Sus scrofa: one gene and its partner. The protein of the gene in region 1 purifies or fractionates together with the protein of each later gene. This does not show direct contact. Links are inferred from orthologs where the notes say so. Each region holds a gene or a part of one and is shown on either strand. Other genes may lie near its edges.

Region 1 (3,623 bases):
TGAGTTGCTGTGGCTCCAGCATAGGCTGGCAGCTACATCTCCGATTAGACCCCTAGCCTGGGAACCTCCATATGCCGCAGGAGCAGCCCAAGAAATGGCAAAAAGACCAAAAAAAAAAAAAAAAAAAAAGAAAGAAAGAAAAAGAAGAAAAAGCTTCCACAAAAGTGACTTAATCTTTCATCTGGCCACACTCTCTGCTTCTTAAAAAGCAATGTGGTTTTCAGAACCATTCCTTGCTCCAGCTCCAAATTTATACAATGTCACCTTTATTTTATTTTTTTCTTTTTGGCTGTGCCCGTGGCATGCAGAAGTTCCAGGGCCAGGGACTGAACCCTTGCCACAGCAGTGACACAAGCCACTGCAGTGACAACACTAGATCCCCGATCCACTGCACCAGAACTCTACAATGTCACTTTTAAAGAGGCAGAAGGATATCAACCTAAATTCAAATATCCACCATTTCTGCATTTACCATCTTCTTCTCTAGCTTGGGGGATGTTTTCACTTGTACAGGCTGTAGAAACAGGACAAAAATAAAGACAAATTATGTCACAATAGAATTCTATAGTACATCTGTTTAATTATATTCTGACTGTAAGTGCAATATCTGCCTCAATAATTTCACTCAAAATACAAAATAATAGCATAATGACAGTTTAAAGCTGGTTCAATCACAATTTTACAAGCTTATTTATTAAAAATGAAAATAGAAGACTATTAAAAATAGCTAAAAAGATAACGTGTCATAGTGCTTAATGTTTCTCTAACTATCGATAAGGCTTACATCTAAATCTGATGTAGAATTCTTAACGGCACTGAAATAGTTCTCTTCTTGGCCACATGATATGTACACTGGTGCTATGAGTCTGGAAGAGACTGGCTGTGGGTACCACTTCTTGTCTTCAGCTGTGACTGCGCAATATCAGCAAGGGCACTCTGTATCTTTTCCAGAAGCATATCCCCTCGATAAACAACATCCTCCAGACATGTAGCAGCTTCATGATTTTCTTCTTCTAGCTTATACAAGCTGGCAGCCTTTATAAGACATAAATTTAAGAATCTTTTGACAAATGAAAAACTTGGAGATTATTTCCTTCTAAGGAAATAAACTGCAGTGGAAGTACCTACTTCTAAATCTGGATGACTGTGCAACCACTGTGATAGATTTTTCAGTGGCATAAATCCTCAGATCAGATATAACTTGAGAATTTTCCCTGTATGAACTATTTAAAAGATGACTTTTCAATGAGAGCTCTCTAGATTGCTATAGGAGACTCCTTTCCACACTGCTTTTAGACACTATGCTCTATTCCACGTCCGGAATGCTACCTTCCTCTCACTCTTTCCAAGGAAAAGAATCAAACTGAGGAAAATGGGAAGTTTCCTCATAACTCAAAATTGGACAACTATACATATTCAGTGCAGTCTTTAATAGACTACAGTAGTTTCCAATAAAATTCCCATTTTAAAATTGAGAGTACCTTTTAATATTATAATAAAAGGAATTAAAGGGGTTCTCTTGTGGCACAGTGGGATACAGATCTCACTGTAGCAGGCCAGGTCACTGCTGTGGAACAGGTTTAATCCCTGGCCTGGGAACTTTTACATGGCATAGGCACAGCCAAAAATTAAAAAAAAAAAAAAATTTCTTTAAAAAAGGAAAAAGGGTACTAAAGCTATCTCCTTTAATTCAAATGCATCTGAACCATATGGAAGCTCCCAGGCTAGTAGTCAAATCAGAGCTGCAGCTTCCAGCCTACACCACAGCCACAGCAACACAGGATCCAAGCCGAATCTGCGACCAACACACAGCTCACCACAATGCCAGATCCTTAACCCACTGAGTTAGGCTAAGGACTGAACCCGAATCCTCATGGATACTAGTTAGGTTCACTACTTCTGAGCCACAACGGGGAACTCCAGAAAAAGAGATTTTTACCTGTAAAGCAGCTGTAGATTCTTCACTGGGTAAGGAATCTATCAAAACATCAATGTCTTTTGCCGTTCGTGCAATCAGCGCTGCAAATAGCTGGGCATATTCTAGAGAAAGATTGTACTCATTTAGGGTATTTGAGAACCTCAAGTTTATAGAAACAGCAATCAAATTTTAAGTTAATGAAACAAAAAAACTTCTTAACTTTTTCTGTCCTAGGCTTCTAATGATTAAGGTGTAATTTTAACACATTAATCCTATTACATGTTTGAGAATCAGCTTTAACATTAACTCAAGTTAGGAATCAAGCATAATGTACATTATGTATCAGGACAATTTGATGATCATTTGAATAAAGGAATTTATGAGATGCCTTTCTTATTAAGGTCCCTGAAGTAAAATTCAGCTAAATTCATATAATTCTCCTCTAAAGGAGTAAAAAATCCATTATTTAACATAAAAAGAACTACGAGGTGTTATATAAACTAACAAAAATTTATTTCTTTTATGACAAACTTGTAGTAACATTCTCTAACAATAACATTTTTAGAAAGCCGTGAATAAGATGAATTTTTCAATAAATCTAATTTTATGGGATTAAAGGCAATGAGGGAGAGTCAAATTAAAAGAAGCCAAAAAAAAAAAAAAATCTATTTACCTTCTGTAGGATTAGCTGGCTGATCTTTGTTAATGGTTGTCTGAATATTACTGAAAGAGGCAGGAGGACCACACTGCTGCAACACTCCAATGGCATTACAAAACTGATCTGCAAGCTACAGGCCAAAAGAAATGTGGCAAAATTAGAAAGGATTTATCAGCTTTCAGGATTTTATTGGCATTGATGATGTTTCTATAATGATCACTGAGCAAGAGAATAAAATATGATAAATCCTGGATTAAGCCAGTTACTAACAACGAAATATTTTAATCATGCAAAGAAACTTCCTTTGGCATTTATTTAGTTGCAACAGTTAAAGAGAAACACAAAATAATTATTTTTCTTCCCGAGATAACAGAATGATAACAGAAATATATGCCAATACTGATTGCAAGCACAAGTTAAGACTTTTAGCGCAACAGTGGTAGAAAAAAGCAAATCTGACAGGCAAATATCTAAAATTTACCCCAGGGTAAATTTTAAAATTTGACTCCAAGGCATATGATTCCTTTTCTGAAACCAGAGTAATTACAACTATAAAGAAATGGTGGGAGAAAGACCACACCTTAAGTATTCCAAAATGTTTTTCTTGGGAGTTCTTATTGTGGCTCAGCAGTAATGAACCTGACTAGTATCCATGAGTATGCAGGTTCAACCCCTGACCTCACTCAGTGGGTTAAGGATCCAGTGTTGCCACGAGCTGTGGTGCAGGCGGCAGATGCAACTCAGACCTAGAGTGGCTGTGGCTGTGCTATGGTATAAGCCGGCAGCTACAGCTCCAATTTGACCCCTAGCCCGGGAACTTCTGTATGCTGCTGGTACAGCCCTAAATAAAAAAGACCAAAACAACAAAACAAAATTTTTTTCTCCAGGACTCAAGCTATAAACTTCTAGTGCTCTAAAAGTTCTAAAGGTCAAGAATAACAAACCCTTACTGAAACCGTATTTCATAGGGTTAACAAAAGCTGGCGTCTTAACAAAAATACTTGAGTGTGTCTTACAACTCAAGGGAACAACTTGTTAGAAAACACT
Region 2 (3,650 bases), on another chromosome or scaffold:
TTTCCTAAAGGCTCAAATTATCACTAAGTATATTGGCTGCTTTCTTTTCTCCCTGTGCTCCTCACACTTACTTTCTCCCATCCCATTATTTTGTACACAAACTCTCAACATACATATTTAAAGTTCTATGCAGAACACACAGATCTTTGAACAAAGTGCTATTCAAAATGAAGTGACCAAAAGAAGATTCTTCTCTTGTCACAAGGGCCCACAGATGGGCTTTTTAAGTGCAGTGTCCACTTGTGTGTTGGCAATACACACTATTTCCCCAGCTATCTTATGCTCTCCCTGTACTGCAGGAGACAGAAGCCTGGCAATCACACTTCCCTGATTCTCTCAGTGGGGTTCTGGGCTAAACTGCACCACTGACAGGTTCTTGCTGGAGTTTTTCAAGGTGGAAGATCTAGAAGCCATGCTACTGCTACCTGAGGGTCTGGGCTTTCAGAGATGTGATATTTTGCAGCAGTCTTCCCACGCTTCCTGGCAAATAGCACTTTGATGGTGCAGGTAGCTGTGATCATCTCCAGCTATTCTCTGCAGTTCCAGCAACCTCAAGGCTGCAAGCTGGAGTGCACATCTGGCAACTAATGGCATAAGCTGACCAAGGCTAGCACCTGACCCTTCTACTAAATCCCATTTTCCTTGAACCACCTGGAGTAAACTCTGACTTATGGAAGCAGCATCCAACATGCAAATAAATAATACTCTAAATACCTCATAACTCTGTTTCTGCTGTTTCTGAAGTGCCAACGACTCTTCTATGGAGAGCAGCTGTGTGGGCATGTGGTGTAGTGGCAGAAGCCGAGCTGCCGTGATGTCATCCAGATGCTTCCTATCCAGGCGCCGCCTCTCTTCTGAGGATATAGGGGACCCTCTCCCCTGACAATGACTTACTGAATCATGCTGTTGTGAAGGTAATCTGAAGGAGGGGACACTTAGGTTAAACCACCAGACTATTTTCTTTTTATAGATACACACTCACATGCACAAAGTGGTCTTTCACCTTAGCAGTGAATTTTTCTACAAAGGTAATAGTAAGCATTTACCACTATTTACCTGTACAGATAACTTTCCTTTGACATATTTACCTCAAAAGAGAGAAATATTTAAATTGGCATCTTTGGGGAGAGTAATTTGCTAATTCACTGCTCTAACAGGTAACAGGTATAGATAGATAGACTCTTTGCCTTTCCTGTCTTTCTTCAAAGCTTATAACTGAATACTGTTCATTTTTTCATTCAGTAACATGTACAAAGGCACTTACTGTCCAGGAGGGAAAGACACTTGTAAACAGTTCCAGTGCAGTGTAATATCACAGGTACCAGGACAGAGGCCTGCACATAGTGCACCAGTAAAAAAAGAAGGAAATGGCCAGTTGTAATAGGAGACAGGGAGGCTGCCAGAAGACCTTCTAAAGAGTGCGATTTGAGGGGTGCGAATAGTAAGTACTCAGCATGTAAACAAAGGGAAGGGCGTCCCAGCAGGAAGTGAGTGAAGAGGCTACAGCACAGGAAGCACACGAGGTGGAGAGGAAGAAAAGTGGCCAGATTCGGCCAGGGCCAGCCCACAATGCACACTTCTAGTCTGTGTAACACATTCAGGCTGACCTTCTACAAACTGCATTTGGGCAGGAGTGGAGAGGACGGACTGGTAGAGTTAGACAAGATCAAGACAGACACCAGCTATGGCCTGAGAGAGGGATGAGAACCTTCACTTTGACAGGAGAGAGAATGGACATAAGAATGATTAGAGATGGAGTTCCCATCATGGCTCAGTGGTTAACGAAACTGACTAGTATCCATGAGCACTCAGGTTTGATCCCTGGCATTGCTCAGTGGGTTAAGGATCTGGCATTGCCATGAGCTGTGGTGTAGGTCACAGACATGGCTCGGATCTGGCATTGCTGTGGCTCTGGCATAGGCTGGCAGTTACAGTTCCGATTGAAGCCCTAGCCTGGGAACCTCCTGCCAAGGATGCAGCCCTAAAAAGACAAAAGACAAAAAAAAAAAAAAAAAAAAAACCATTAGAGATGAAGGTCAAGGAAATATACAGTGAGGTCCTCATGGACAGCAGATGAGGAAAGGAGGGAAAGAAAGAAGTGGTGGCACTACTGACGGAGGGGCTATGGGAAAAAGCATTACGGGAAGAAATGAGTTCTCCTTCATAGGTGATAAACCTAAGGTGCCACAAAACAACCCCAACAGGGTCAGGTTTCACAGGTAACTGGCTATGCAAATCTGACCTGGGCTAGCAGCAGATGAGGGGCAGCCTCTAGCATCCAGAAGAACATGTAGAAGGCCAAAGGAAGAGCAGGAAAGGAGCCAAAGGACACCCTCATCTCACCTTCCAACCTCCATCTGAGCTGACTCATCAAGGCCCAGCCTTTTCTGATAACTGCACCTCTGTCTGTCTCCCTTGTAAATATCACCTGAGAGCCCTCAGTGATATTCTCTTACCCTCCTCCACTTCCAGCTAAATGACCATAATACAGAACCAGGACCAGTGTATTCTCTGTTGTATGTATTGACTAGATGATGCTTCTCATTTTATGTCTCCCTAAAAGTGAGGAAACATACTTTACCACACACAAGATGAGCAATTATTTAATCAAAGTTTACTTTAAAAAAAAAAAAAAGTAATCCTTTAGAAGATTAAACTTTAAAGTCTCTATAACAATTAAAATTGGTTTTAGGTATTTTTACCTATAGGGTTTCAGTTTTAAAAGGAAAGGCAGTAGTGACTGGACTGTGTATCTGTGTTACATTCTTATACATCTACTCCTTGACTTGATATTGTTGCTGCTCTAATTTGCATGCTGTTTGCATATAAGTAAACAATATGCCTTTCTCTTCAAAGAGCTTTTGTTTTTCCGGAGATCTCAGAAACCAAACTCTGACAAGGAACTTAGGAGCTTCCATTGCAGCTCAGCGGATTGAGAACCCAACTAGTATCCATGAGGACTCAGGTTCGATCCCTGGCCTCACTCAGTGGGTTAAGGAACTGGCGTTGCCGTGAGCTGCAGTGTAGGTTGCAAACTTGGCTTAGATCTGACGTGGCTGTTGCTGGTAGCTGCAGCTCAGATTTGACCCCTAGCCTGAGGAACTTTCATATGCTGCAGGTGCAGCCCTAAAAAAAAAAAAAAAAAAAAGACAAGGAATTTAGAAGCAGGGTTAATTTGCCCCTCCTGCCCAAATCTATTTCCAGTTTTTTTAATCCCTTCTCAGCTCCTTTCCCCTTAGAATTATACAGTTTAATGTTCTTCTAAGTGTGAAAGCCTAGCATCCTTATCTAGATGCTAAATGAGGAGCAGAATCTTTACTCTTATGCAGCCACAGCACCCGCAGCTTACATGCAATGAGCACACGAATAGTTTTTACTGAGAAGGCCCATCAGCTCCTGCAGTTGTTCTCCCCTTAGCTTATAGTCTAATCAAAAGGGAAGCTATATGCCAGAAAATGGTTTGGAAAAAATCATAATGAATTCTCTAATTCTGTGTTTAATGTGAAATATTCCCTAAGGATCCTGAAATTTAATACTCCATCTGCTTTTGAAAACCTTTCAATTATTTGGCTAAAAAACCTAAAGCATTTTCAACATGAATCCTCCACTTCAGCCAGGCTAGTTTCACTATTTCCACAATAAGCTCATTC

What was found.
Region 2: the proteins of MED21 (region 1) and POLR2M purify together in Homo sapiens (affinity purification with mass spectrometry; 3 studies listed by BioGRID and IntAct, with this or other methods). This does not show direct contact. The link is inferred for Sus scrofa from reciprocal best matches to the Homo sapiens genes MED21 and POLR2M.

Annotation. Positions count from the first base shown.
Region 1 is NC_010447.5:46,729,849-46,733,471, forward strand, and holds the end of MED21 (mediator of RNA polymerase II transcription subunit 21), read right to left. Parts: intron 2,707-3,623; coding exon 2,592-2,706; intron 2,041-2,591; coding exon 1,940-2,040; intron 1,036-1,939; coding exon 859-1,035; 3' UTR 561-858; downstream 1-560. UniProt on the Homo sapiens protein: Component of the Mediator complex, a coactivator involved in the regulated transcription of nearly all RNA polymerase II-dependent genes.
Region 2 is NC_010443.5:114,260,241-114,263,890, forward strand, and holds part of POLR2M (protein GRINL1A), read right to left. Parts: intron 920-3,650; coding exon 715-919; intron 1-714.